Linked DNA regions of Diceros bicornis minor. The protein of the gene in region 4 purifies or fractionates together with the protein of the main gene of each other region. This does not show direct contact. Links are inferred from orthologs where the notes say so. Each region holds a gene or a part of one and is shown on either strand. Other genes may lie near its edges. The genes, in order: EZH2, ZEB1, HIC1 and SIRT1.

Region 1 (7,423 bases), on a different chromosome or scaffold from region 4:
AAGTTAGATTAAATGAGACATCCAAAATATATTTGTTCTCTGTAAACAACAAACTCTATGCTTTTAATAAGACAATGCCTCATGGTTTGGGATTTGTGAAAACTAATATTTTTTAAAGCTTGTAGAAATAATTGCTATAGACTGATAACCATTTTCAGCAGTTGAAGAGAAAGGATTTTTGAGATTTGCCCAAGCTATGAATTCTAAATACTGATTTCTTTTAGAAAAAATTCCTAAAAACTTTTCCTGATTTATATTTTGCTGTGCGCAAAAAGGTTAATGAGATTATTACATATGCTGCCACAGTATATGGTATATGTGACATTTGGACATGAAGAATCAACCCTAATTTTTTAGGTTTAACAACACAGAGAATTAATCATTTATTCAACCATGTTTCCACTTTCCTTACCTGATGAAGGATTCCTGGGTTTCACACACATAGTGAATCTGACTTTGAGAAATATTTATGGAATGTAAAATCTGTATAGAGAAATGCATGAAATTGTCATAGACCATGGAACAAATATGGTGAAGGCTATGAACATAAGCATAATATAATTTGTTTACACCCTTCAGTTTTATTTTCAGAAAATGGTTATAGTTTAAAAAGATGTAACAGAAAATGACTGGCTGCAAGCAGAAAGATTATAGACCACTTCCACAATTCTTCTTCAGCCAATAACAAATTATGATACACGAGGGATTTTGAAATTGTCTTGTCATGTACATACACAAGATATTTAAACTAGATGGGATAGCAGCTATTACATCCTTCAAAGGCTGATGGAATCAAGAAGGCCTTAATTTTGTATTTTCCAGAGAACATTACCAACGTAGCAAGACTTACTAATAACCAATGGTTGCCTGCAGAGCACACAGGTTGTTTGTCGGAACTTGCTGAATAAATTGGTGTGTCTTGAGAGTGCAAGTATTTCCTACATGACTCCTGCTGAAAAGATCTTCCTTTGATTCTACTCCAGGGCGGATGCTGAAATTGGTGTGCATACAAGGAAAGCTAAGATGCAGATGGAAACTTCGATTATTTTCTTAACTTGAAAACCAATTAAATTGCTCCGTTTTCACATTTCTAGATCCAAACTTTAAGGACAAAATTTTCTCTAGTGATTGTGTAGAGCGGCAAGAACAGAAAAAAATATTAGAAATCAGAAATAAAAAATATAAACAAGCGCAACGATCTTAAATCTGCTTCTGAAAATATCATGCATCTTTTTGAAACAGTGCACAAAACTCCAGTCACTGAAATTGCTTCAATGAAATGCCATCAACCATCCAAAAAGTTTTCAAGGCTAAAAATTAAAAAGGAGAAAAGTCTTTACCTTAATAAGCTCCTATTAGAAAAAGGAACGTTTAATAAATTGGTGGCAATATCACCATATTATACTGGCAGAGCTAGCCTTGCTTCTCCATGGAGCTCAGTTGAAAGTATCTTATTTAGTAACGCAAATGTCCCTGTTTAATGGTCTTGGGAGCAACCAACAGTTGACAGGACCGAGAAATTACTGTTCTTGACCTTATAAGGTCAAACTGTAAAATTTTAACTACTACATTTTTAATAATAAAATTATAAAAACGAATTTCCTTCCCAAGAAAATTCAGATTTTTTCCAGAAGTTCATTCTGTTATGGCGACATTCTGATTCAGAGAATAGCAATTTTTAACTATCAAACATTCACCATTTGACCAAAATATACATTCAGGTAGATCTCAAATTACACACTGCAGGTGTAGCTACAGTCTAAAAATAGCTGGTATGCTCAAGAGCAGGTGCCCCAACAGGATGGTTCTCATACTTTTGTGATTTATAGATAGTTTGTTATGGATATTGACTTGGTTCATTTGTTGAAATACAGGTTTGGGAGGACTTTGATTCATGTTCACATGTTTGAAATGAGGACTGTGCTGGAAACTCCGGGTTATTGCGGCCGTCTTGCTATAATATACACTCTGCCAACCTCCACAGACAACACTTGGTTCTCTCCTGTCCACTAGCACAGACCCAGCAAACCGAAACCTCAGTCATCCGAGACGTAGGACGACTAGAGAGTTTTGGTTCTAACACGGGCCACGTGGGACGTGAACCGCTTCACCTCGGCAGCCACATGTGCAATTTCTGCAAATGACGAACATCTTCATCACAGATGTCTGCCTCTCGGTCACTCACTCTAGGCTCACTTGGGCCCTGCCTGCCCTTCGGCTTTCGCCCTCCGCCTGGTTCCACCTTTCTAGAGTGGGCTGCCCTCCCGCCCTCCCGCCCTCCCGCCTTGCTTCAGGCGGTGTCTGCGAATGTGGCCGCCAGGAAGGACCCCTCCCCAGACGAGCCCTGGTTTGAGGCCCTAAGCTCGCATCTGGGGAGCGCTCTCGGGGCGTGCGAGGAGACAGAGGCACCGGCTCCGTGGAGCAGACCCCGCCACCCGGCCGAGCCGACCCAGCCGCGGGGCGGAAGTGGCCGCTGGGGCCGACAGGGGGCGCGCTGCGCGGGGCTGCGGCTCGTCTAGGCCGGAGCCGTTCCGGCTGCGCTCGGTGCCCACAAAGCGCCAGCTGAGGGGCCGCTGCGGGCCGAGCGCGGCTGAGCCTGCCCGCCCCCGAGCTCCACCGGCCGGCCGCCCCGCGCCCCCGTCGCGACCCCGCGCTCCGAGTACCGGGCCTGACGGCCGCGCGAGCCCGGGCGGGGAAGGCAGGGCCGGGCGGGCGCCGCCTGCGGAGAGGCCGGGGGCCGGCCTGCGTGGGGCCGCGCGGCGGCGGCGGCGGCGGCGACTCCGGCCGGGCCGGACAGCGCGGGGCCATGGCCGAGGCGGCGGCGGCTCCGGTAAGGCGGCCCGCGCGAGCGCTGCGAGCCCGGGAGGGTCGGACCCGAGGGAGGGAGGAGGGCGGGAAGCCGGCCTGTCAGGCGCGGGGCCCGGAGCGGGGCGCAGCCCGAGCGGCCGAGCGCAGACGGGCGCCCCGGGGTCCCGCGGGGAGGGCCGGGGAGGGCCCGGTGGCCGGGTGGGACGCCGCCGCCGCGGGGCTGGGAGGGCTCGCCGCCTCCCTCCGTGAGATCCCGCGCCGGCTGCGAGGCCAGGGCGTCCCAGCCCTTCTAGAGGCTTCTAGCGGGGAGAGCCTGGGACGCTCCTGAGAGAGGATGCGTGAAGAGGGGTGCCTCCGCTCGGTGTCCGCGCTCCACAGCCCGCCAGACGCAGGCGGGGGCTGTGCGGTCGTCAGCCTCGGCTCTGGGAGCCGTCCTCACAGAATCTCCCGCAGCGCGGTCCGCCTGAGCCTCGCTCAGCCACGGAGGCGGTGGTGACGGTGACACTCGGTGTATTGAAGGACTGCCCAGCACATGCCAGTGCCGGACACACAGGAGGGCCTCGGTCGGCACGCTGCGGGAACGCGGGCCGGGTTCCGAGGGCGGCGCGCCTGCTGCGCGTCTGTTCATTCAGCCGACGTTGACCGCAGGCCGCTGACCGCAGGCCGCGGTGGGCCAGGCCCCCCGCCAGTTGCTGGTGCTGCAGAGATGACCGAGGCAGTCCCTGCACCCCCGACGCGGGTAGCATGAGCGGGGACCAGGCGAGTAACAGAGGGCTGAAAAGTATGCCCTGGATTTGCCAACTGAGAAGCCTTTGGTCACCCCAAAGAGAGCCATTTTAGTGGTCAAGCTGTGCTACCGAGGAGTGACTGGAAAGTGAGAGGAGGAGGAAGAGGAGGAAGAAGAGAGCCGCATCAGTGGGGTGGGGAATAGAGTAGAGGGGAATACCATCTCTGCCCTTGGACCTGTTTTTCCTTTTCCAACCTTTTTTTTTTTTTAATATGGTAGAGATGATCATGCGTCTATGCTAGCCCTGTCCAGTGGAAATATAATGGAAGCCACATATAGATCTTTAAATTTTCTAGTAGTCATGTTTAAAAAGTAAAAAGAAATAGATAAAATGAATTTTAATGATATTTAACCCAATGCATACAAAATATTTCAATGTGGAATCAATATTAAATTATTAATGAAGTTTTACATTTTCCCCCATACTAATCCTTCAAAATCTCCAGTGTATTTTACTTTATTTTTCGTGTGTGAGGAAGATCGGCCCTGTGCTAACATCTGCCAATCCTCCTCTTGTTTGCTGAGGAAGCCTGGCCCTGGGCTAACGTCTGTGCCCATCTTCCTCCACTTTGTATGGGACACCGCCACAGCATGGCCTGACAAGCGGTGCGTCATGCACACCGGGCCCCCAACCGGAGAACCCCGGCCGGCGCTGCAGAGCGCACGCACTTAACCACTTGTGCCACACGGCTGGCCCCTCCAGTGTATTTTATACTCACAGCACATCTCAATCAAAACCATATTTCAAGTACTCAGTAGCCACATGTGGCTACCATATTGAACAGTGCAGGTCCATCTTATGGAGAAGAATCAAGAGAGATTGAAATATTGACCATAAAAAAGAAGAAGAATGTACCTAAAAATGTGGAAAGAGTTGGCATTCAGAGCTTAAGTGGAGAGATCAATTTTAAATAGAATGAACCTTTTTCCTGTGGGAAGGAAAGAAGAAAGCAAGATTAAGTTACTGATGAGTTTGAAGTGGGAAGGAGTGTGAAGAAAAAGAAGAGAAAGTTGAGAGAGTTTGGTCTAGTTACTCTAATTTTCTTCTCAAAGTAGGAGTCCATGTCATCTCCTCAGAGTGAGGGGCCCTGCAGTGGACAGGCATCTTACTACTCAACGCATGTTCCCTGAGCCAGCAGCATCACAATCACCTGGGAGCTTGTTAAAACTGCAGGATCTCAATTTTCCTCCCAGACCTACGGAATCAAAGTCTGCATTTCAACAAGATCTCCAGATGATTCTTATGCACATTAGTTTGAGAAGTGCTGTACTAAAATTTAAGGAGAGTGCGGGCACAAGGGTTCTGGTGGCCACTAGATGGAATGGGAAAAGAAGCATGGGGGCACCAGGCAGTGTTGAGTCCCTGCTGAGCTTAGACACCATTGGTCTGTGGTGACACCAGTTTACCCGGTTCTGTGACTTCCTTTAGTAGGGCTTACCAGCCTGCTAACAGGAACAGAGAATGAGAACGATCGGACTGATTCAAAGCTAGGGGTTAGTTGAGCAGGTGAGGCACAAAGACAGATGAGTGAAGGGGCTGAAGGTGGCTGAAATGATCAACCAAGGAAGAAAGGAAAGCCTGGAGCAGGCTGATAAACCAGGAGCAAATGGAATGGTCAAGGGTTTAGTGGGATTGGAGAGCAGGTGAAATGAGAAAAAGGTAGTGGGTGAGCTGGAGAGATGGGAGGTGGTGGCCAGAGAGCATGTTATCAAATTCATAGAGTCGAAGGGCTTTGTGGAGGTCATGCCTGTCAAGCCTTCTGTTTTTTGTAGAAATTTCTTTTTTTTAAATGCACTCTGTTTTGAAGTACATTCAGTGTTAGGGCAGCCTGTTATTTTCTTGGAAAGATCTAGTTCTAAAATTATTTATATAGGCCAAGGTTTGCCTGCCTGAAAATTCCGTGTTGGTTCTAGTTCTGCCCTCTGGAGTAACACAATATAAGATTAAACAAGCCTGTTCTGCTTTCTGTTTATAAGCCTCAAATGTTTGAAAATAGCTGTCATGTTTTCTCCAGACTCAACATTCTCAGCTTAAGTATTACTGAATGGTATGGTTGTGGTTTGTAAGCAGGGTGGTGGACAGGGCCACAGCATAAGTCAATAAGGGGTTTATCAGAGGGCACTGAGCTCAGTGAAACCTGGAAAGATCCTGATGCACTTAGGCCTTTTCCAGAGAGAGAGGATGCAGCAACAACTTGAGCCTCTGGACAGTTGGCTCTAGAGCCTTACATCCCAGGGAATATGTCAGGCTGGTTCTTGATCCAGCTTTACTCATTCACTGCCTTACCTAATCCATCCCTGAACCACCAAAGCAGTTCTCTTGGCTTTTGATGCCAATGAGCTCTATAAAGACGAGGCTTATGCAGGTGGTACTAAAACTATATTTAGATTAATCTCAGCCGGCCAGTTTAAGCGGTCCTTATCTGATTTTAGTTTGGATTAGGGCTCCTTCTAACACTCAGTGTCTTGTCTCATCTCTCCACTGCACACAGACTTCTGAATGGGACTCTGAATGCCTTACGTCCCTGCAGCCCCTTCCTCTTCCCACACCCCCAGCAGCAAATGAGGCACACCTGCAGACTGCAGCCATCTCCCTGTGGACAGTGGTGGCCGCCGTGCAGGCTATAGAGAGAAAGGTGGAAGTCCACAGCCGGCGACTCCTGCATCTAGAAGGACGGACAGGGACAGCAGAGAAGAAGCTAGCCAGCTGTGAAAAGACAGTGGCCGATCTTGGGAACCAGCTGGAGGGCAAGTGGGCCGTGCTGGGGACCCTGTTGCAGGAGTACGGGCTGCTGCAGAGGCGGCTGGAGAACTTGGAGAACCTGCTGAGAAACAGGAACTTCTGGATCCTGCGGCTGCCCCCGGGTATTAAAGGGGATATCCCAAAGGTAATACCTTCACTTCTAGATGGAAAGTGGTCCCACTAGTCCTTACACTAGTAGTAAAGGATAGTCTTGGTCAATCAGTTAGGCCGAAGGAACTATGAAGTTGTTTTGTGTTTATCTATCTGGGGAGCATGCCATGTTCAATTTAGCGACCATTTGAAGTGTTGAACTTCAGGTTGGAAAACTCTTCTTAATCCCAAGTTGGCTATCTGGCAGATAGGTCTCTTTTGCTTTCTCCTGCCCATTACCCCCGAGTCACTTTTCCCTTTGTTAACCTGTCTGCCACAATCTTGGTGTGGAAACTAAATTAAATATCATTTAAATCAGTCAATTTGAATTTGTCGGCAATTCTGGTGAAAAGTTAGAGGGAGGAGAAGGGAATGTATGTAGAGTAAATGGTTAATATAAGGGTTTAGGGCCATCTGTAGGTCTAGAACTGATGTAGATCCTGCCGTTCAGCATCCTTCACAGAAGTGTGCTGCAATGCTAGGGCCCAGCCTTTCTGGAGTGAATAGCCCATAAAACAAAAGGAAATATACATCATTCCTAAACGATGGAAGACAGCCTTGAGCCAGCTAGTTTCCAAGCATGCCTGCTTATTCATTCATTCATTCAACACATATTTCTTGAACACTTACTATTTGCTTGATATCTACATCCTGAAGGCACAGCAGTGAACAAGACACTAAAGCTCCCCTGGAGTTTAAATTTTAGTGGGGAAAGAAAGATAACATAAACAAAGAAAAACTTATGTCCATTTAAGTGCTTTGATAAAAAATAAAAGTGCTATCTGGTGATTTATTTTAGATTGGGTATCAGAGAAGTTCTCATAAAGGAGCTAATATTTAGGTTGATACTAAATAACAGGAAGGACCCAACTGTGAGATCTGAGGAAGAGCTTTCCAGGCAGAAAGAATACCTAGTGCAAAGTCCCGAAGGCACA
Region 2 (7,715 bases), on a different chromosome or scaffold from region 4:
ACATATTAACCAGAATCTATCCTGAGGTTTCACAACACAATGGCATATAACTTCATTTTTAATTTGCAAATTATAAGGCTTAATCAAGTAGCATGGCTGTAATCAACAGCGATGGATGAAATGCATTTGAGAACAAAAAGAAATACTAAGACAGAGCCAAAAGTGATGAAAATGGAAGATACCTGTGGTAGTACAGTGCTATCTTAAACACCTTTTGTTTTCTGAGAGTAATGCATACTGCAGACAAGACATTTTGTGCTAAACGGCCCCAAATCTGTTTTTCTAATATTAAACACAAAGGAAAAACACTGACAGCAAGCATGGTAAATAATCCCTCCCTTGAGAATGAAAGCAGCAGACAGGAGTGGGCTGACATACATGCAGGAGAAAACTAAACACCATCTTTTTTCTACCTGCACAAGTTGCCATTTGCTGCAGCGATCGAGAACCTCTTTTTCCTGTTGATTTCAAGTACCTTTCAGGATAGCTTTTTTTCCCTTAAGTCATCTGTTGATATGCCTTATGAGTATAATATTCATATCACAGGATCTTTAGGAGAAAAATCCATTCTTTCCTGTTCAGGTAAACATGTTTACAGCAGCTGCACAGACGCTGGGTGGTTCAGACTCACATGTCACACACATGTCGTCAGCAACAAGAAAAGCCCCTTTCTCTGGCGATGAACATTTTAAATAAGGTAGAGCGAACAGCCCTTTCCGAACCAACTTACCTTTCATAAAGCCACATCAGCAACAGCGGCAACAGCTCAATATAGGACACACTATTTGACGCTAAAACAGGAAATTAAAATTGCAATCGCCTATGCTTCGCTCCTTGCTGTAACAAGTCATCTCTCCACAATGAGGATACCAAATATTAGTTATCAGTCATAACTAACAGACGTCTTTAAAATGAAAACGTTTATTTGAATATCTAAAATCACTCATGAAAGCAGTGATTTTAATGTCGGCTCAAATATATTAAAAATATGTTTACGATTGGAAGGAAACATCTTGAAACAGCTTTAAATCTTCGTATCTGCTTCTCGACAGGAAATCCCACACAAAATCTAAAATTGCCAGGAAAGGTTACAAAACCTCGCGTTTCGCATCCCAGAGGGGAGGGAGAATGGATCCCGAGAGCGGGGGGTGGGGCGGGGGGAGCGCGCGCGAGTTTTCACTTAAACACGTATTTCCTCATTTTCTGGAAGATACAGCGATCCCATTAGAGGCGCATTTATTGCCCTACTCTTAAAAACTCGTTTTTAAAATAACGCAGGAACGCAAAGGAGCCCCTCGGTCCGAAATGTACGTGTAATTCCTTATATAGCCTGGCTGCAGCCAGCGCAGGCCGTTGCCGCCCATTATTATACAAACAGGTACCCGGCCGGCGCGGGCGGGGTCCTCTCCCCGCGCTCCCGCCGCCCCCGGGCGGAGAAGTCTCGCCCCTCTCGCCACAGGAACTGTCCAGACAATAACAATCAGCAGACATTTCGCTGCTGAACCAGAGGGAGAGAAAGCACAGACTCGCCCCCGAGATAAGCAGAAATACAATCAACTTACACCGTCTCTCCAAACTGGAAAAGGCGACTGTGCAACAACAACCACATGTTCGGGTCCTGCTCTCTCGCGCTCTCTCCCTCTCCCTCCGTTTCTCTCTCTCGTGTTTTGCTTTTTTTAACTCTCACGCCAGGCAGAGGGGTGTGTGTGTCCCCGGCACCTCAGCACAAATCAATAAGCACTGCAGCTGCAGCGCGAGCAGCGGACCCGCGCGTCCGTCGGTCCGTCCGCCCCCTCCCCCACCCTCCTTCCACCCGAGACCGAGAGCGCCATCCAAGCTCCATTATCCGGCTTCAGCGCTCCGAGCGTCCGGCCCAGGTAACAACTTCCCCAAAAACCGAAAGAGAAAAAAGAGAGGCGTAGGTGCAGGACCCCATCCCGGCGCGGAGGAGTCTTCCCGGGAAGGGGGGATCTGTCTGTGGTGCTTTCCCGTCTGAGCCCAGGTAACTCCGCGCACACACCCGCTGCCCGGCTCGCCGCCATCCACACGTCCCCCAGCAAGGAGGTGCCCGCTCCCGCCCGCCGGCTCCCGCACCACCGGGTCCTCCCGCGCGGGGCTCGCCTCGGCGCCCCCAGGCCGGGGGCCCGGAGCTCGATGGCCCGAGGCGCGGGGAGGAGGGGCGCTGAGGGACCCGCGCCTCCGCGCCGCTAATGCCCACTCCGCGAGCGCGCCTCGCCAGCCGGTCCCAACTTTACCGCCGCCGGCCGAGCCCGGGCCGCCCGCCGCGCGCGCGGCGCACACGCGCGCACGGACGACACGCAGCCCACGGCCGCCGCGTCCCGCCCGCCGCGCGCTCGCAGCCCGGCCCGGCCCGCCCGCCCGTTCGGCCGAGCCGCGGGGCCCGGGCGGCGGTGCCGGCCGGGGCGGCGGCGCGCGGAAGCCACTTTGCACGGTCAGCGCCGGGCACAAGTTCGTTCCGCGGCTCCCGGGGGCCTCGGCGCCCAGGGAGCCGAACGCGGAGGGGCCGGGAGGCGGGGGAGAGGGGAGGCGCCGAGGGGCGAAAGAGTGGGGAAAAGTGCGAGAAGAAGCAACAGCCGCTCCCCCGAGCCCAGAAAAGTGGCCGGCCGCGTCCGGGCCGCCCGCCCTGCGCCGGGATGCGGCGGCGGCTAACGGTCCAGGGAGGCGGCAGGGGCGGCAGGAGCCGCTAGGCGGAGAGAGACCAGGTAAGAGACATAACGGTTCAGGGAGAGCGAGCGGCCGCGGCGCGGCTCCGGCTGCGGCGGCAGCGGAGGGGGGCAGAGAGCACTACTTTCTACTTTCCCACTCCACTTTGCCCGTCCCTGCCCCGGCCGCCCCCAGCCCAGCTCGCCCCCCTTACCCCCGGGGCGCCCCGGCTGCCCGGCTCCCCCTGACTCCGCCGCTCCCCGGTCCCCTCCGCCACTCACCGTTATTGCGCCGCGGGTTCGCCTGCTTTCTGCGCTTACACCTGGGGCCATCCGCCATGATCCTCTCGCTTGTGTCTAAATGCTCGAGTCACCTCCTCCCCCTCCCTCCCCCTTCCCCCCCACCCCTCCGCCTCCACCCCTCCCCCCTCCCCACCGCACCTGGTTTACGACACTCGCGGCTTTACGACATCACCTTCCTTACACCTAGAGCCGCTCGCTCTACGGCCGGAACCTTGTTGCTAGGGAGAGGACGGTTTGCGGCAACCGTAGGAGCCGCTGAGTTTGAATCGGGGGGAGAGGGAAAAGTTTCCCTCAGGTGTCGGGGGACGGGGGAGGGGGCGTTAGGAGACTGTGGGGACGTGGCCAGAAGGGCGACAGGCCGGCGGAGTGAGAAAGGTAAAGTGGGAGGCTGCGTGGCGATCCGCCTCTGAACTGGCCACGCCCGCCGCGGCCGCCTGGGGCGCGTATGGGTCTGGCTCCTGCTGGGGACCCTGTGCCCTCAGAGCTGCGCCTCCGAGAGACGGAGCCACCTGCCCTCCCTCGTCCCCGAGGTGGGGCTCCCCCCCACGCATCGTTTGTCCGCTCGGCGCGCCCCCGGGCCCGGGAGAGGGTCGTGCCTGGCTCCCCGGGGAGTCCCGGAATCAGAGGCACGGCGAGGGGCGGCTTTGGGAAGCCCGGCCTCTGACGGCGAGGACGCGCGCGTCGCGAGAGCGCTACTTGACTCCCTCCCTTCCACGGACGCGCGGGTTTCCCCCGAGCGACCCGGGCTAGAGAGTGATTTCAATTAGGTAGAACTTAAGCTGGACCCAGAGAGAGACGACAAGTTCCGCTTGCAAGCCGCCTGGGCGGTAAGCGGAATGAGTAATACCCACGCTGTCCCTGTCTCACTTCCTCATGCGCGGGCCCTCACCTGCTGTCACCTCGGCCTCCGCCGCCCCGCCCTCCTCCCCGCTGTCCCCTTAGAGTAGGCTGTAGGCGTCAAGACTTAGAGTGAAGGTATCGACAGGCCACGATTTACCACCTAAATGGGCAGTTACCGCCCTATGGGACCTTAAGGCACGAAACAGCGGCCGCACGTGTGGCCTTTGAGACTGTTAGATTGCTGATCCTATCTCGAGTCCCTGACTTTGTACAAGTTTGGGGATTTCTGAAAGACCGCGTAGATAACACCACAAATACCAAGAAAGTCGTCTTCAGTATTCAGTAGGACTTAGCTTTCCGCTCCTTCCCCCCTCCCCCATTCAAGTGAGGGAATGTCTTTGGGACCAACTTTATGGAATAAATGAGCTGAGCTGTATTTCAGATAATATAGTTATGAATTAACTATGTAAGAATTATTGATAGAGAAATTGAGGAAACTGAAACATGACATAGACTATTAGAAGTAACATAGTAAGTCGCCCAGCACAGTGCTCTCACATAGTAGGTCTTCGATAAATTTATGCCTATAATTTTTGTTATACCTATGGCAGGATTCTTTATTATGTTAAAATAGTCTTTTGAACACCCTCCAGAATTTTAGAAGATGCATTAATAATCTCCTCAAACCTTTCAACTGAAATAAATTTACAGCTGAAGTCTGGTAATTTAAAATTAGAAAGTTTAATCCTGAATATAGATGAAAATTTTCTCTCCCACGTTGGCTTTGGCATTTGAGAAGTGAATGCGTTATTTATTGGTGCATGAAATGTGACTGTAAATATTCTGTGCTATACATTATGTCTGTATATCTACTCTCCTCAGTGCCAAGACTAGAATCATTATTTCTACTGATCATTTTAAGTACAGGCAGTCCTCACTTTTCTCAATACCATGTTGACTGAACTTGTGCATGTCAGAACCAGAACCTTGTCCAGGCTTTGCTTGGTTCACGTTTTTTTTCCTACCCTCTTAAGAGCTGTATCATGTTCTTCAGTTGCCTTCTGATTCAGGTTATAGACTTTGTCTTTTGCTAGCAGCGCCCCCCTCCCTCCCCGCCCCCCCCACAAGTAACTTTTTTATAGCTACCCTAATTTCCAATCAGAAAGGAAAAAAAAAATACTTTCTAACTGTAGCACACGAAGTATCCTACATGCCATTTTCTCTTTCTGAAGTGCCTGTCCTGTACCTCCCTACTAGCTTTCTTCAGTGTTCATCCTCACCTTGAAATCCAAGAGAGAAAGTGAAGGGATAAGCCAAGTAGAAGTCATTTTCTGCCTTACTTTAGTGGTTACTAGTTTAGTTAGCTTGGGCCAGACTTTATTTAACTGTGTGGACAGATACAGTGTTTTTTTGGTTTTTGTTTTTTTTTTTTTGCTTGTTCATTTCTGTGCCCTCATCACTTAGCAGAGTACCTAGTCACATAGTAGATGCTCAGTAAGTAAATATTTATTAAATCAATCAATATTGTTGACCTTTCCTGAATGTTTTTGGCTATAAAGTAAGGGTTGTTTATCTGCTTTCATCACATTAGTTCTAAGGAGCAGTTGAAATGGTGGATGTAAAAGCTGTTTACTGTCATTTATATCCTGCATTATTTTGAGGTTAATTGCTCTTCGTTTTAGATAGTCCATAATCATTTTCCCCAAACGATTACCTCTGCTCACTCCTATTTTTAAAATATGCACAGGAAATATTATTCATATCCCAAATCTAATACAAATTTTTAATTTTGTAAACCTGTAATAATTACATATGTTATAAATTGAATATTTGATTAATACACTTTTTTTGCTGTAATGTTTCCAAAATTATTGAAATCTAGACTGGAAAGAAAGCAGACAAAAGTAAATCTCAGAATAAATCGTTGTTGTAAACCTGATGCATATTGTAATGGTTGCTTCTTACACCTCTTAAATATAACTAAAGAAGTGGAAAAAATCTTGAGTAAATTTAAAAAAGGAATAAATTTATTAAAATTTAGACTTATTTAAATAAAAGATGGTGGGGATACTAATAAGAGTTTAACATGTGTCCTGTATTGTTGGTTTTTAGTAATTGTGGTGCCGTCACACGTTTTCAATGTATACTCCTATTTTTGACGTCAATGAAATGTTAACACTGTGCTTCTAGCGAGCACTGGGATTGCATATGCTGAAAGGGAGGTATTCTGCTAAAAATGAATTACTATAATCTTTTCTAAATTTACAGGGAAAAATGTAAATGGATAGAATATTTTCAATATTAAGTTTTTTCCTATAAATTTTTCATGAACCCTTTGCACCTATTTGCTTTCCATAGAAGATTTATGTATTAGGATAAAATTTGACATAAAATCATTTTAAGTTTAAAATGTAGGTGTTTCATGGTGTTCCACATCGAGCATGTGATTTCCATGTACCTTACTTCCTGAACACATTTGAGAAGTATAACTTATTTATAATATGATTCTGTAATCTTCATCAAAATAAAAAGTTGATTATTTTCATGGAAGGATAACGTATTAATTAATTAAATTAATGACATTAACGTGTAATCTTAATCTTAGAGCTTTGAAGGAAAAAAAATTTGATAGATGTTATCCATCAAATTTAGAATCCCCTGAAGTTGCTCCTCAGTCTTTGGCTCAAGAGTAACTCTGGATATGTGGTTCACAATGACACAAAAGAGAGCAGTGGTCGTTTCACTGCCTGCAATTTCACCAGATTCTACAGTCCCTGAGTCAAGAAGGAACCATGACTAGGGGGTGATGTAGAACCAACAGTCTTTAGGACCCACATCAGCTTTTCTAATTAAGCCTCCCGGGAGGTAATAGGGACAGATGTTTTCTGCAAACCTCCGTGTGGTTTTATTATATATTGCACTACAAAATGGTTTTACCCCTGCTGGAGAATAAGACTCCTATTTTTAATATGTCAATAAAGTGTTAACACATGGAGCTTCTTATTTGGGGGGCAACTTTTAGGAACATGTCTAATATAGCGAGATGTAAGTATAAATAAATGTAGAGAGAGAGATTTGAAGGATATTAATGAACATCCAAAAGTTTGTTGTTAGTGCTGTGGAGTGGATTCCAACTCTTAGCACCCCTGTGGACAACAGAGCAGAACCCTGCCTGGTCTTTCTGCTCCATCCTCTCACCTTCTGGTGCTGTATCAGACAAGGCTCCACTGCTCTTCACAGGGTTTTCATGGCCAGTGTTTTCGGAAGTGGGTAACCAGGTCCTTCTTCCTAGTCTCTTAGTCTGGAAGCTCCACTGAAACCTGTCCACCATGGGTGACCCTGCTGGTATTTGAAATAACGGTGGCATAGCTCACAGCATCACAGCAACACACAGCCGCCACAGTAGTACAGCCGGCAGACAGACACATGGTGTGGTTCCCTGGCCAGGAAAGGAACCTGGGCCACAGCGGTGAGAATGCTGACTCGTAACCACTAGACGACCAGGGCTGGCACCCAAAATGTAAAACTGATCTTTTCCATAAAATCACAATAATTAAGACATTGCTTTCAAAGGCTAGCTCCACAGAAGATAGATTATAGTTTCTAATATTGATATCACTTATGAACATGATTAGAATTTTTTCTGTACTTAACTATAGGTAGGTAATTTGTACTAGAGAGCGCAACATACATATTTTGGATTTGAGTGAATTTTAAGTATCTACAGTGATATCAGGCGTCTGATATCTGGTTTCTGCTGCTGGTTTTCCCTCTTGCCTCCGCGTATTTCTTTTCTCTGCCATCTTGACGACTTTGAGCAGCTGACTGATTCTGTTACAGTGTGGCTGGCATCTTTGACCTACAGCCCTGGCCTTCTATATTCCATGGATCCTCAGTTACAATCATTGC
Region 3 (6,864 bases), on a different chromosome or scaffold from region 4:
CCAGCGACCTTGTCCCCACCGCCTCCAAAAGGGGGCCCTAGGCCGGCAGCCCCGGCAGCTACTTCAGCCGCCTCGGCCCTGCCATACAGCGCCTCCTCCTCCTCCACGTGAGCCTCCACGTGCGCATTCAGCTGCTCCGAGCTGGGGAAGCCCTTGCCGCACGGGATGCACACGTACAGGTTGTCACCGAAGCTCTCAGGCTCGCCGTAAGCCAAGTGCGGGCATGGGTAGCCCTCGAGGTGGCCGCCGGGCGGGCTGGGATCCTCGCTGCTGCCCGTCTCCTCGCTACTGCTCTTGTAGTCGTCGCCGTCGCCGCCCGCGCCAGGCCCGTCCAAGCCGCCCGGGTAGCGCGGCGGCGGCCCCAGGCCTAGCGGGGGCCCCCCAGGCGAAGCGGCCGGGTCCCCGCCGCGCTCCTCGCAGCGCTCGCCGGGGGAGCCGCGCTCCCGGCCCAGCTCGTCACCGTAGCTGCCCAGGCCTGGCTCATGCTTCATCCAGCGGTAGAGGAGGCTGGGCCCGTCGGGGCGGCCGGGGGGCTCGGGTCCCGGGCTGGCGCCGCCGCCACGGAACGGGTCCGGAGGCGGGACGGCCTCCTCCAGCTTCTGGAAGGGCAGCGGCGGCAGCGGCGGCAGGGCCAGCGGCGGCTCCTTGTAGGCTGCGGGGCCGGCGCTGGGAGGGCTGTCTGGGCGCGGGGGCAGTTCGCGTTCGCCCGGCGGCCGCTCGGAAGGCGCGGAGCCCGGCGGGCTTTTCTTGGACAGGTCCAGGCCGCAGAGCGGGGAGCAGCGGCGCTCCGGGGCGCAGAGGGCAGCGGCCGGGCCGGGGCCTGAGGCGTACAGCTCGGCGCAGTGCGTGTTCACGGCGGCTTCGGGGCCCGACGGCGGCTCGGCGGCGGGCGGCGGCGGAGGCCCGGCTGGGGACGAGTAGCAGGCCTGGATGACGGGTGTGGCGGCCCTTAGGCCCCGGCCCGGCCGCCCGTAGGGTGCATAGCCGCCACCACCGCCGCTGCCGCCCCGCAGGTGGCAGTACTTGCCGTGGCGCTTGAGGCGCTTCTTGCACAGCGCCACGAGGTCGGGGATCTGCAGGTAGCTGGCAGCGGCCAGCACGGCGCCCAGGCTCGGCTCGGCCCCCGGGGCCACGGCCGCCGCCGCCGCCTCCGCGCCATCAGCCAGGCGTCCGGTGTAGATGAAGTCCAGCACCAGGCGGAACACGGCCGGGCTCACCATGTCATGGTCCAGGTTGAGCAGGTTGTCGTGCACCACCAGGGACTTGAGGTAGGCGCTGCTGGCCGCCAGCACGTTCTTGTGCGCGCGGAAGAGGGCGTTCTGCACCACGATGATCACGTCGCACAAGAAGCCCTTGGTGCGCTGGTTGTTGAGCTGCAGCAGCAGCTGCCTCGAGTGGCCGGGCGCCTCCATCGTGTCCAGCATCGTCTGCCCAGCACAATCTCCTGCGGGGACACACACCAGCTGGGTCAGAGCCGCAGGGAGCCCTTGCTGCCTGGACCCAGCCCGGTGCTTCTCCCCTCCACTTCCCCTTCCCCTCGGCTAGGCCGGGGCATCAGCACCGCGGCCTGGGCACTGGCGGAGGATCGGCAGCCTCCGAGTGTGGGAGCCTGGGCGGGCCGGCTGGCCCAGAAGAAGGAGCAGGAGAGTGGCTAGTGGAGAGAAGGCCGGGTGGGCCTGCACCTTTGGGCCCGGATGCCGCCCGGCAGACAGGCTGGCTTGTGGGGGCTTCCGAGGAAAAAACTGTTCGGGCGAAGTGACCCTTTAGGAGACAGTTACCCGATTTGAGGAAAATGTCCGCTTCAGGAAAAGTCATTCAGGGCCGAGAAGTTTGCCTAAGTGGGATGTAAGGGAGTCGAGTAAAAAGCACCTCCCGCCTCGGGAGAAGTTGCCCCAGCTGGGGGAAGTGATCCGGAGGAGGGGAGCGCGGTGCCCGCCGTGGCGCCGCCCTGGCCGGGGCTGTCAGGCCCTCATTTGGGGCCCGGGCGGCAGCCGCGGCGCGGGGAGAGGAGGCAGCGGCTGCCTTGCTGGGCAGAGCTCGAAGGCCGGGCCCCGGCGCGGGGAGGGCGTTATATCGGGGCAGGAGGCTGAGGCAGGAAGCAGGTGGGGGGGAGGGGGGAGCCACGCAGTTCCCAGGGGAGGGAGGGGGCAGCGCCCCGGGCGGGCACGGCGCGCAGCCGGCTGCGGCCCTGACCCCGGCCTGCGCCCCACCCGCGTCCCGGCCCCGGGCCTCGGCCTCTGCTCTGCATTCGCGGGCCCGGCGCCTCCCTCCCCAGCTCTCCTCGGCCCCTTCTCCACGGGAACTCCGCCGTCCCAAACTTGGGGAAAAGTTTCCCAACTTCAGACAGGCCAGGAGGAGCGCGCCAGCCCCGGTCCCTTGGCTCCCAGCTTTTCCTCTCGGCTCCCAATTTCGGCAGCCAGGCGGTCGCAGGGCCTGAGCCGATCCCTGAGCTCCCCGGCCCGCCCGCTCGCCCGCCCGACTCTGTTCCCCGCCTGGCCCGCAGGGCCTCGCGGCCCGTTACCTGCGGCCGCAGCCCGACCGGGCTTCCCTCCCCGAGGCGGTGGCAGTCCTAGCCAGGGCCCCACCCGCCCCGCTGCCAGGCGCCGAGCTGTGCCAGGGCAGCGCCCCTGCCAGCCCCGCCCGCCAGCTCCCCTTCCCTTCCCCTAGCCTCTTCAGCCCATGTGCGGGCAGAGCCGGCCCCGGGCCGCTGACCCCGCCGTGAACCCGGCGCAGAGCAGCGGCCCAGAGGTCCTGAGTCCTCTAGGGGCGACACCCCGAGCCCTGAAAGCCAGCCGCGCTGGGGCGCCCGCGCCGGAGGATGCGCCCGAGGCGGCCAGGGCGCGAGGACCGGGCTCTCCGGGTCCTCTGTCCCTCCTGGTCCCCAGCCCCAGGACCCACCTGGGGGGCATGTCGGAAGCCCCGGGCCCGGCTGCCAGCGGATCCAGGGGGGACGTGGCTGCGCTGCGCTGCCCTCCGCCCGCCGGGCCCCCGGTCGGTCTGTCTTGCTGGTCCGTCCTCCCCGCGTCCTGGTCGCGTCTCAGCCCCGCCGCGCTTTCCGCACACTCTTATCTGGAGCTGCCCGGTCCGGGGGGCGCTGCTGCAGCTATGGCGCCACCTCGCGGCCGCGAAGGGCTTTGCGCGGCACAGCCGCGACCTCCCTCCCGCGTACCTGAATTGGAGGCTCGTAGTTGCGGAGCTGGACCTGGGAGGGGGGCCTATTCGCAGGTTCACTCCCCCAGATGTGCCCACTTGGGGACCCAGGCCCCGGACCTGCGAGTCCCACAAACCCTGGGGTTTTGAGCTGAACGCTCCCATTTACATATTTCTATTCAGAGAAGTCCTGCCCGCAAGGAGGGGACTCTGGTGACAGTAGATGGTGGGAAGGAGGTTACGGAAATCCTAAGGGAGAAGAAGGTAGACAAGATCTTAGGTGACTCTCCCTAGACATTCCTAGATGGAACTGTCCATTTGTACCCACCACCCCAACACATCCACCCTCACTCAGCCACATGGGTTAGGTATGCACAGAATAAACCCGTTTGCACCCAGACCGTCTCCAGGCATTGACACCTGCGGGCACGCCTGTTTGCACAGAACACACCTGCCCCCTTCCGGAGTCCAAGCCCTGGCTTTCTGGGACATTCCGGGGGCTGCCACGTAGGACTCTCCGTGGACCTGGGCAGACGTGGTACCCAAACAGCCCGCCCTGAACTTGCAGGTCTCTGGAAGGACCCCAGGATATTCGACAGGGAATGGCTGGACAGCGCCTCTTGGGGGTCCCGCAGAAGCGACCCCAGCCCCCAGATTCCCCGTGTGAGCCGTTCCGAGGGACATGCCTGGGCCACCTCGTCTGCAACCCACCGACGCGAGAGACCCGTGACAGGAGGGCCTGCAGCCCGGGATCCCCCGCAAGGTCCCGCACCCCCACGTAAAGGCCGGGTTCTTGCAAGTGACGCCCCTTCTCGGAGGGAGGGGACCCCGCACTGGCGATCGGACACTCGCAAGGCTACTCCGGAAGTGTCAGCGCCCGGCCCCGCCGCTGCAACGGGCCTGTAGAGAGCGCGGGGTCGCCGCAGCCCACGCTCCGCCTCCTCCTCGCACCTCCTGACCCCCGCCCACACGTTGGGGGTGGGAGTGGGTCCCCGAGAACGCCTGCGGCTTCTGATTGGCTGCTCCTCCCTCAGCCGCCGCGCGCGAGAGGCTGGGGCTCAGTTACCATAGTAACCGATGAGGTTCGCCCAGATCGCGTCTCTCCAAGGCCTTGAAGAGCTTAGCAACTAGCAGGGCCGCGGGGCAGGTGGGGGCCGCGCTCGCCGCCCGGCTGCGGTCCTCCGCCCCCACGCCCCCGCCAGAGGTAGTGGCTGAGTCATTCATTGAGGGGCTGCCAGCGCAGCCACTCGCGGTCGCTGACAGACACCAAGGTCTCAGGCGCCCCCCAGAGGCTCACTTTCCTCCGCAGGCGACTTCATGGCCTTGGGGCCAGGCGGCGGTTCCTGGTCCCCGCGGGACCTTCTGACTCCCCTCGTGTCTTGAGTCTGCCCTCACCCTGTTTCTACTACGTGTTCTGGATCCGTCTTATCCCAGTCCTCTCCTCTGTCTCCCCACGGTCTCCTCACTAGAGAAGTAGTGAGGTTCCAAGAATGAAAATTGTGGGCTCCGGGGCTGCCGGCCTCTAGGAGAGACGGACCCCCACATCTTGGCGGAGGGACATGTGGTGCGTTGAGGTGGAAAAATGTATGGAGTGCTGGGGGGAGACTAGAAGGCTCCTCAGAAGAAGCGCTCTTAGAGCCGGGCTTTGATGGATGAATAGGAGTTCTTCCCCCAGGCAGGAAGGCATTCCTTGGAGATGAGAACCACTGGGACAAAGACTGGATACAAAAAAAAATGGGAACTCTAGAAGGCCAGATCCCAAAGTGTGCATGACCTCTCTGACCCCATTTCTGCTGTAGTCTTTCATCCTCTTGATGGGGCCAGATCCTAGCCCCACAAGGAGCCCCTCAGCCCCACGTCTCTTTTGTGCGGTTGAGTCTGTCCACTGTGAACCTACCCTAGGGTCCGCTGTGCCCACTGTCTTTGTTTTTCTTCAACACTCTCCCCAAGTTAACTCACTGCCCCAGCCCCTACCCTCAAGCTGTCCTTACATCTGTATGGGAGGGTCTCACAGAACTTCCTCCAGCCTAGCTGCCCTCCTATGGACCTCTCCCTTCTTCAAACTTTGACCTTTCCCTCCTTCCCTAGTTCCACCTGCCCTGGCTGGTGCTGACCCCTCCTCACCCCAGTCCAGCTCCTCAATCTGCACACTCTCCCCCTTCCCCATTTGGAGACTTCCTCAATTGATGGAGCTAGGCTAAGCCAGGGTCGTTCATTTCCCTGCTCCCGTCCAGGGGAACTCTGACTACATGGTGTGGGCCCTTCCTGCCAGTTGTGATCTCCAAGAACTGTAACTCCTCCAGGAAGTGGTCTCTGCCCCGCCGCCCCCTGGAGACCCCACTCTGCCAAGCTGCTGAGCCTTTGGTCTCCTTCACTCGTTATCATCCTTATCTGAGCTCTGCCAGTTCCCATTATTCCACAAATGGGTCCTAAACGCGGTCTGCTTCGTGCTAGGCTCTGAAAATGGCACTGCCAACCTGTCCTCCTCCCCTCCACTTGATGAGGCTGCCTCTTCCTCTCGCCCCCTTCTCCTGCCACCTTTTTCCCAACTGTCCCATAGAGGACCCCCTTGTTCATTTCTGGGGAGTCCAAGCCACCTCCTCAACTTTTCTGCCTTCCTTTGGGTCTCCAACTTCTGACTGGTACCTGGACCCCCATTGGGCCTTCCCTCCCAGGCCCAGCCTCCTCCTACAAAGCCTTCCGGGACCCTTGGGCTCCCCCACTCTTCTTCCCCATCTCCCCGACGCCACATCTCTAGATGCTGCCGTAGGCCCCTCCGCGGGTCCAGCTTCCTCTCCTGCCCCCCGCAGTGGCCCTGCTGTACAACGCCGCTGCGGGGCATCTTGTGACTTCACAGAGCGGTCGGGTCCAGGAAGTGAGGAATGGGAATGGGGGCTACCTGGTGAGGACCTCTGAAAGGCGGGCGGGATGGGGTTGCGCCCCTAGGTGTCCCAGAGTGAATAAACATGTAACGGACCCGTCCGCCCTCCCCGCATCCCAGCACTATCCTTCCCCCGGCCCCCAGCCCGCAGTTCCGGAAAATTAACCCCTGGTAGACCGGCACAGGGGGCGCGGGCTCCCCCTCCCCGTTCCTGCTTCCGTGCGCCCTCTTCCCCCTCTCAGCCCCCTGTCGCCTCGGTCCCCACCACTCTCCCTCCTCGCCTCACCACTATAAATAGCCCCTCTTCCCGTTTCCTAAATTCCCTGCTGACGTCGGCAGCGCGTCAGTGTGTAGGAGCCGCGGCCGCATGAATGAGCCGCCGCACGAGTACTACGCGCTCCTATAAAAGCCGCCGCGCCAGCCGGGCTGCGGGAGGCGAGCGGGCGCGGGCGCGGGCGCGGGCGCGACGCGGCTCGACAGGTAAGCGGGAATGACCGACCGACGGGAGACAGATGGACCGATGCACGGACACGGACAGGAGGGCAAGGAGGAGACCAGCAAGCAGCAGGTTGGAGGGCCTCTACGGGGCTGGGGTTGGGGACAGGGTGGGGGCCGAGGGTCCCCTCGCAGCTGGTGGAGCCGGGCCGGAGGCGTACACGGAACTCCGTGCAGCACCTGCCCGCTCCTGGATGGAGACGCAGCCACTTCGGAGGAGCATCGAACAGAGGACGGACCCCAGAGTCCCCGCGGCTTTTCCTGGCGCTCCTGCGCCATTCTCCCAAGAAAGTGGGGCGAAGGTGCTGGCGCCCCCTCCTCCTCCTCCCCGCAGCACG
Region 4 (7,742 bases):
TTACTTTTGAGATGATCATGTTATAACTTTGGTATAAAAATCTGATAGTGTTTTCTACTTCAAAATACTTTCCCATTTCATCTACATACTTAATAAATATTTACTGAGCACAAACTATGTGTCAGGCACTTTTCTAGGCACTGACAAAACAGTGTACCAATCAGTCAAAAATCCTGCCCCCATGGGGCTTATACTCTAGTACAGGAAACAAGACAATAAAAAAAGTTAAGTGTTGGGCCGGCCCTGGGGCTTAGCGGTTAAGTGCGCGGGCTCCGCTACTGGCGGCCGGGGTTCAGATCCTGGGCGCACACGGACACACCGTTTCTCTGGCCATGCTGAGGCCGGGTCCCACATACAGCAACTAGAAGGATGTGCAGCTATAACATACAACTATCCCCTGGGGCTTTGGGGGAAAAATAAATAAATAAAATTTAAAAAAAAAAGTGTTAAGAAAAATTAAAGAAGAGATATGAAGTGAGGGAGCAAGATACTCTTAATGGGAGGAAGAGCATTCCACACAGAAGGTATGAGTGAAAAGGGCTCGAGGTGTGAGAGAGACCTGGTTGAGAAATACCAGATGCCAGCTTCCGTGGGCCTGAGCTGCTACAAACAAAAACAGAACAAAGCACTAGACTTTCCCTAGAAACATAAGCTGACATTAAATCTCAGCAAGCACTTAAGAACCTCATCACTAGGTTATAAGGGGGCAGAGAATTACACTTTCAGTTGGCATAAAACAAAAATACAAAGAAAAAAACATTTATTCTCTAAAGCTGTGAAACCATACCTATCCGCGGCCTTGGAGTCCAGTCACTAGAGCTTGCATGTGAGGCTCTATCATCCTCATCGCTTTCACAAGAATGAAAACCGTTGGTGATTATTTCATCACCAAACAGAAGATCATCTGCAAAAGAAACCAAAAGTAACTCAAGGTTGCTTAAACAATCTACATCTAAAATGTACGAAGATCTACAATGCAAAGATTTTCTTTCTGGTTTTTGTTGGTGAGGAAGATTGGCCCTGAGCTAACATTGGTAGGCATCTTGCTTCTATTTTGTGTATGTCATGCCGCCACAGCACCACTTGATGAGCCGTGCATAGGTCCGCGCCCGGGATCTAAACCTGCGAACCCCAGGCCGCACAACTGGAGTGCGCGAACTTAACCACTAAGCCACCACGCCCACTCCTGAATAAAGCACGTAACATTTATACAGCCCGTGTAAAGAATGCCTACTGGGTTAGCTTTCACCGTTCACAGGAGCAGTATATCCTCATTTTTAGCGCTTCTTCCCAGAATCTAAAAGTTTCAGTTCGTCAAAATTTAAATAAATTGGGTCTACCTAATCAAAACACAAAAAGTAGTAACCTAGTTAGATTGACTTTATCGATCACAAAGAATGGAGTTCATGAAACTTGTCACACAAAAATTCACCAAAAAAGTCGTTCAAATGAAGTACAGCAATTTGCACTTCTCTTACATAATACTAAGTATACAATGATATCTTTGCATTATTCGTTTCCCCTATTAAAGTGTGTTTCTTGAAATCAGGAGTCGTTTTACTAATCCAGTTCCTAATGCACACGTTGTTACCTTTACAGATGGTCAAATGGTCCACTGATTGGATTTGATACAAATACTGATAAACACAGGGCAGAAACTCCTCAGATGGAAAATAAGAAACCTTCAAAGATGACATGACATATACAACTAACAACCGCTTGCGTATGCCAGAAAAAATGTCAATTCGTGTTTCAAGGTTACATATACACACACAAAAAGATTATACTTAATCTAAAAACCATTATAAGAACATGATTAGAGGAGAAATACTATGCATATAAAGTGCTCTACAAGTACTATCACTCCTATGCCCACTATTAATTGCACCACAGAAGGGTAATGTCTTTACGTAACGTCTTTATACTCTTCAAATTTTGCAGGTTATGACTTTAGAAATAGCTTTGCTGTTTAAAATTTAAGCTAGCTCAAAAATAAAGACCAACTGCACAGTCACCAATTGTCAAAAGTCACCAATTGCACAGGTGTCAGTTTGCAAAGACGACTGCAAAAGGTCGATGCAAAAGTTGCAGATTTAATTGTGCTGGGGGGGGGCGGGGGGTGGGAAGCAAAAGATGTCTAACAAAAGCAATATGTTATAAGAGTAGGAGGAGAGAGAAACATTTTAAAACCAACTGCAAGAGCTTCCCGGTCCGGCGGCTGCGCAAAGCGCGAAGCCCGGGCGGGCGGCGGACAGAGGGAAGGCGGGAGGAGAGGGAGGGAGCGAGTCCGCGGGCCGCTCGCGCAGCCAAGCCAGCAGCAGCCGGGCCAGCAGCACCGGAGGCGCGCAGCTCAGGAGGGCCGTGGTTGGGAGGGGCACGCCACAGAGCCAGCCCTGAGCCCCCAGCCCGCACCAGGGAACCCCCCCCCCACCGACCCCACCCCAGGAGGGGCCCCGGGAGAGGGAGGAGGGGATGCGCAGTCCCGGCCGCCCGCGCCCTGCGCACCTCGGTACCCAATCGCCGCCGCCGCCGCCGTCGCCTCTTCCTCCTCCTCGCCTTCGTCGTCGCCTTCGTCGTCGCCTTCGTTGTCGTCGTCGTCGTCGTCGAAGTCGTCGGCCGCTGGCGGCTCCCGGGATAGGCCCTGTAGGCCCGGCCCATTGTCTCCTCTGGCCGCCGCCGCCGCCTGGGCCTCCCGCTCCCCGCCCGCCACCGCCGCTGCCGGGCAGCTCCCGGCCGCCGCCGGCACCTCACGCTCGGGGGCCGCCCCACCAGGCTCGCCCGGGCTCCGCCCGAGGCCGGGGCCGTCTCTCCGCGGCCTCTTGCGGAGCGGCTCCCCGGCGGGTGGCGACGCGGCCTCCCTCTCGGCCGCCACAGCCGAGGGGGAGCCGCCGGACTGAAGGGCGAGCGCCGCCTCGTCCGCCATCTTCCAAACTGCCTCTCTGGCCCACCTCCGTCGCCTCCTCTGCTCCCGCTCGACTCGCGGCACTGGCGCCCCCGCGGCTCCGGCTGCGGGAGATTTAAACCCCGTCACGTGACCCGGCCCTCCCCGCCCCCGCCGCTCCCGCCACCCACGCGGGCTGGACCACAACACGGCGGGTCACGTGGCTGGCGAAGGCGGCGTGGGCCCGGAGGAAACGCACCTTGGGCGGTGCCGCCCCACCCCTTGGCGGCAGGCGCTCGGTGCTGCCAAACTCACCCCTTTCTCAACTTCTCTTTCGAACTGTCGTTAAATCGCTGCCGCCAGGCTGGCTCAAGCTTTGATTCACAGTGCGAGTTTCCACTTCTGCCTTAAGTGCACACCTTGCTTGCTTTAGTCTTTTCAAGATTTAAGCTAAGGGTTAAAACTTAGTTCCTGAGAGGCGAGAAGGAATGAAGCTGGCCAAGGCTTAGCTCCCGGACGGAGGCTGGATGGTGGGTCTGTTTTGTTAACAGGTGTGAGTAGAGGCGAAAGGACACAGCTCACTCCTCACACCATTCTGACAGCTCCTCTTGGCTCCTTTTTCTCTTTGCTTCTCTCCTAAGCCGATTGCTTTTTCCCCCTCTCTCCATCAGTTGTAGGGTGATGTAGGCTGTCAAATCCTTAAAGACATGTGTACCCCCTGGAAAGACCTTTGACTTGGGGGGTTGGGGATCAACCTGTCTGCTTTCTGGCCTCAGCTTGGCTCCAAATGTGTGTGAATTCCCTTCTCTGGGCTTCACAAAGTGAGTGTATTGGGTCAAGTGGGGCAATATAAGAAGAGTACAGAATGAGCATGACTTGGCCCCTATACACCTCTGGGTTTGGGTTAGTATTTGAGATCTTTCCCTTCTAACTTGAGCAAGTTAGTTAACCTTTCTAAACCCAGTGTTCTCATCTCTAAAATGGTAATACCTATTTTTTAGGGTTGTGATGAGAATTAAATGAGATAGCCAGATGTAAAGTGAGGGATACATAGTAGCTCAAAAATATTAGTTACTTCCCTATTCGAAGCCCCTACTTTCCATTTACCCTGAAATTGCAGGACTCTGTCACTCCATATCTATCTTTAACTAAGGACTCATATAATACATGGCAGATCTAGAGCCAGTGCTTGGTAGGGCATCTGCTTCTGGAGTGCGGCATTTCTGTCCACTTAAAGCGCCTCTCCGAGTTTACAGTAAATCATCCCTTAAGCTGAACGTGGGTCTTGCCTATACTGCACCAATTACTTGTGTGAATTTAGGCAAGCAACTTAAGTTGTTTCTTCGTTCTTAAAAAAAAGTAGAATATTGGAAATCTATCTCTAAGGTCCCATCTATATCCAAAAGTCTTTGTACCTCAAATTAAACTGAGAATCTCCCCTTACAACTGATCATTTCTTTTCATTTCTGAAAGTGATTATTTCTTTCAAGAAGACTTGGAATCAACTTTGAAGTGTTTCTTCAGACTGATGCTCTGTAACCAATCAGTGACCAAATCCTGTTGTGCTTCCTTCCTTCCTATACTCTCTCCAATTCCTGACTACATAGATACCTCCCTGGCTGATATACTTGGACCTGTTCTCTCCCCACTTTGTCTATCTTGTTCTACAAAATATTTCATAAATTCTTTCTCAGCCACGTTGGTGGGATGTAATATATGAAATGTTGAGAGTCAGTATCCCATCAAAATAGAAACAAAATTCCTAGCTTTTTTGAGAAAGACCTTTGTAAGCTTATGGACATCCTGTTATTCATTCATTCATTCATTTATATATATCATGAATCAAAGACATTTGCTAGTCTTTATTGTGATCAATATGATTGCTAGTGTACTGATAGGTCAGAGATGGGGTACACGTGGCAGGTAGGATAAATGAGAGACAGAAATTGTATTAAAAAACAAAACAAACACACACCTTCTCAACTAGATATCTGGCCTACCAGGAGTTGAGAACAACTTGCCTGAAATTCAAGTCATTCTTAGTCCTTAAGGCTTGCAAGTTCACATTCAGTTTTTCAAGTCTCCCATGAATCTGGCCTTGACCTTCTTGTAAATATTTTTAGCATTAGTATATTCTAAACCGAGCTATTCATGTACCAGACTTTTTTTTTTTTTTTTTTGCTTGAGGAAGATTCACCCTGAGCTAACATCTGTGCCAGTCTTCCTCTATCTTATACATGGGTCGCTGTCACAGCACGGCTGCCGATAGTAGTGTAGGTCCACGCCCAGGAACTGAACCCAGGCCACTGAAGCAGAATGCGTCAGACTTAACCACTAGGCCACAGGCTGGCCCCCAAACCATTTTTTTTAAAATGAGGAAGCTCTTTGGGGCCGCCATGTGGCATAGTGGTTAAGTTCAGTGTATTCCACTTTGGCGGCCCAGGTTTGCAGGTTCAAAACCCCGGGCATGGACTTACACTGCTTGTCAGCCATGCTGTGGCGGCAACCCACATACAAAATAGAGGAAGATTGGCACAGATGTTAGCTCAGGGCAAATCTTCCTCAAGCAAAAAAAAATAAAAATAAATAAATGAGGAAGCTCTTTAAGTTGTCATATGGAATGCTCTCCATGCTGCACAGTGCAAGATGTAGAACAGTGTGTGTAGCACTATTTGTGAGAAAATAAAAGGGAGAGTGTGGAAGGGAGACCATATATATGTATTTGCTTATATATGTACAAAATAACACTAGAAGCGCTTAAAATAAATACATATATGCCTGCCATATATTTGTCATACTGTTTTGCCTGTATCTCCTTCCCTAGAATGAGTCCTCTCTATACCTTATTCAGAACGTTATAGAGCACATTCCCCTATTTTGCTTGTTAACTTATTTTTCTCTATGTGTTTTACTGACTGTCTCCCCCAGCTACAGCAGGAATTTGGTTCATGTGGTTCACCTCTGTGTTATCAGCTCTCTAGTAGAGTAACTAGCACATCTATTTATTGAATGAAAGAATAAAGAATCTAAATGAAGATTTCCATATAGGAAAAGAATTAGTGAATGAAAGGTGATGGGCAGCATGAATCCTAAACAAAAAAAGGCAAGAAGCAAGGCAAGGAAATTCAGTTTGTCCCCAGCACAGTTCAGGTGAGAAAGTTAATGAAACATGACATGACCTGTTTCTTGTTTGACAGGATGAACGTAGGTGCATTGGGCTGTGAGGTGTTTTCCAACACGAACCACCAGTTCTGATTCTCCAGATACCAACTGGGTATTTAACAGTTCAACTCAATTATGACACTGGACTGCCCCCACTTCAGATGCCAGTCACCAGTCCCAGACCTCCTGTACAAACTGGCTATAAACAGGGAGTTCCCATGACACTTACAAAGGATACAAATGAACAGCTAGATGAAGAGGTACGTAGGGCAAGGTCCAGAAAGGTCCAGAGCACAGGAGCTTCTGTCCCTGTGGAGTTGGGTCACACCACCTTCTTAGCTCATGGATGTGTTAACCAATTCAGAAGCTCTCTGAAGCTCCTTGTTGAAGACTTTTTATAGAGTTCAATCTCCAGTGCGCTCCATCCCTCTCTCTGGAGGTCAGGAGTGGGGCTGAAAGTTCCTGCCCTCTAACCACTTGGTCTTTCTGGTGACCAGCCCCAGCTGAAGCTATCTAGGAGCCCCACCCTAAGCTACCTCATTAGCATAAACTCAGGAGTGAAGGAAAGGAGTTCATTATGAATAACAAAAGACACTCCTAACACTCAGCAAATTCCAAGGGTGTTAGGAGGTGTGTTTCAGAAACAGGACAAAGACAAATATTTATTTTTTATTATACCAAAGGCTGTCATAGACTTCTCACACTAGTCACTAGGATTTTTAACTTGTTTTCAAATTCTAAGCCCCCTAAGCAGCCTTCAACAGTAATTTGGTTTCCCATATAGACTGTCCCACTGGGAAGAAAATGTTCCAAGAGCCAACAATAATATTCTGGCTGACTTGGCAGCTCTATTTATATGAACAAAAAAATTGGCCTTATAGCTTTGATTTCAATCTCATGTGACTACAATTAGTAGGGGAGTTAGTATCAATTCTTTGTGTACTGAAAAACAGTATTAGCAAAACAGGTTATTAATGTGGAAAAACACAAATACAGATTCCTACCTCACACTAAATACAAAAATAAATTCCAAGTGGATTGAAGATCTACATGAAAAAAATATAATAAAAATATTAGAAGACATTTTATAATATATAATTTTGCATCAAAAAGAACTAAGACAGAAGCCATTTAAAATATATAAATTTATAAAATATATTCTAAAAATATATATTTGACTATATAAATATTTAAAATATGTTCGAATCTATTAGTAGTCAGGGATATGCAAGTAAAACAATGAGGTACCATTTTTCACTCCTCAAATAGGCAAAAACAAAACAAATTTTATTGCTACCATCTACTGCTTACCAGGATATGGGGACACTGATACTCTCCACTGCTGTCACAGTAATGGAAAGTAATCTGGAAATATTTATTAAAATTATAAATACACATATACATTTCAACCCCAAATCCCATTTATCTTAAAGAAATAGAAGTGTGAATATGTAAGGATATGAATACAAGAATATTTATTATGGCATTGCTGTTCCTGGAAAAAAAGTCAAGAAACAATCCAGATGTCTTCAATAGGAAACCTATTGATCAAATTATGGTGTACACATACTATGTCATATTATGCAACCATTAAAAAGATCTATAACTGTCATCCTTGAGGAATATTTATGATACACTGTGAGTGACAAAAGCAAGTTGCACAAAAATTTGTACATTACGATCCTTTGTTATTATTTAA

The links.
Region 1: the proteins of SIRT1 (region 4) and EZH2 purify together in Homo sapiens (affinity purification with western blotting; 3 studies listed by BioGRID and IntAct, with this or other methods). This does not show direct contact. The link is inferred for Diceros bicornis minor from reciprocal best matches to the Homo sapiens genes SIRT1 and EZH2.
Region 2: the proteins of SIRT1 (region 4) and ZEB1 purify together in Homo sapiens (affinity purification with western blotting; 4 studies listed by BioGRID, with this or other methods). This does not show direct contact. The link is inferred for Diceros bicornis minor from reciprocal best matches to the Homo sapiens genes SIRT1 and ZEB1.
Region 3: the proteins of SIRT1 (region 4) and HIC1 purify together in Homo sapiens (affinity purification with western blotting; 4 studies listed by BioGRID and IntAct, with this or other methods). This does not show direct contact. The link is inferred for Diceros bicornis minor from reciprocal best matches to the Homo sapiens genes SIRT1 and HIC1.

Annotation. Positions count from the first base shown.
Region 1 is NC_080742.1:95,356,389-95,363,811, forward strand, and holds the start of EZH2 (histone-lysine N-methyltransferase EZH2), read right to left. Parts: upstream 3,019-7,423; 5' UTR 3,011-3,018; intron 2,831-3,010; coding exon of another isoform or gene 2,807-2,830; exon of another isoform or gene 2,561-2,806; intron 1-2,560. Other genes in the region: ZNF398 (zinc finger protein 398), read left to right, coding at 2,807-2,830, 6,088-6,483. UniProt on the Homo sapiens protein: Polycomb group (PcG) protein. Catalytic subunit of the PRC2/EED-EZH2 complex, which methylates 'Lys-9' (H3K9me) and 'Lys-27' (H3K27me) of histone H3, leading to transcriptional repression of the affected target gene.
Region 2 is NC_080775.1:29,630,798-29,638,512, reverse strand, and holds the start of ZEB1 (zinc finger E-box-binding homeobox 1), read right to left. Parts: upstream 3,004-7,715; coding exon 2,946-3,003; intron 2,724-2,945; exon of another isoform or gene 2,598-2,723; intron 1-2,597. UniProt on the Homo sapiens protein: Acts as a transcriptional repressor. Inhibits interleukin-2 (IL-2) gene expression. Enhances or represses the promoter activity of the ATP1A1 gene depending on the quantity of cDNA and on the cell type.
Region 3 is NC_080757.1:15,773,369-15,780,232, forward strand, and holds the start of HIC1 (hypermethylated in cancer 1 protein), read right to left. Parts: upstream 3,018-6,864; 5' UTR 2,899-3,017; intron 1,445-2,898; 5' UTR 1,425-1,444; coding exon 1-1,424. UniProt on the Homo sapiens protein: Transcriptional repressor. Recognizes and binds to the consensus sequence '5-[CG]NG[CG]GGGCA[CA]CC-3'. May act as a tumor suppressor. Involved in development of head, face, limbs and ventral body wall.
Region 4 is NC_080745.1:37,974,022-37,981,763, forward strand, and holds the start of SIRT1 (NAD-dependent protein deacetylase sirtuin-1), read right to left. Parts: upstream 3,002-7,742; 5' UTR 2,924-3,001; coding exon 2,506-2,923; intron 905-2,505; coding exon 788-904; intron 1-787. UniProt on the Homo sapiens protein: NAD-dependent protein deacetylase that links transcriptional regulation directly to intracellular energetics and participates in the coordination of several separated cellular functions such as cell cycle, response to DNA damage, metabolism, apoptosis and autophagy.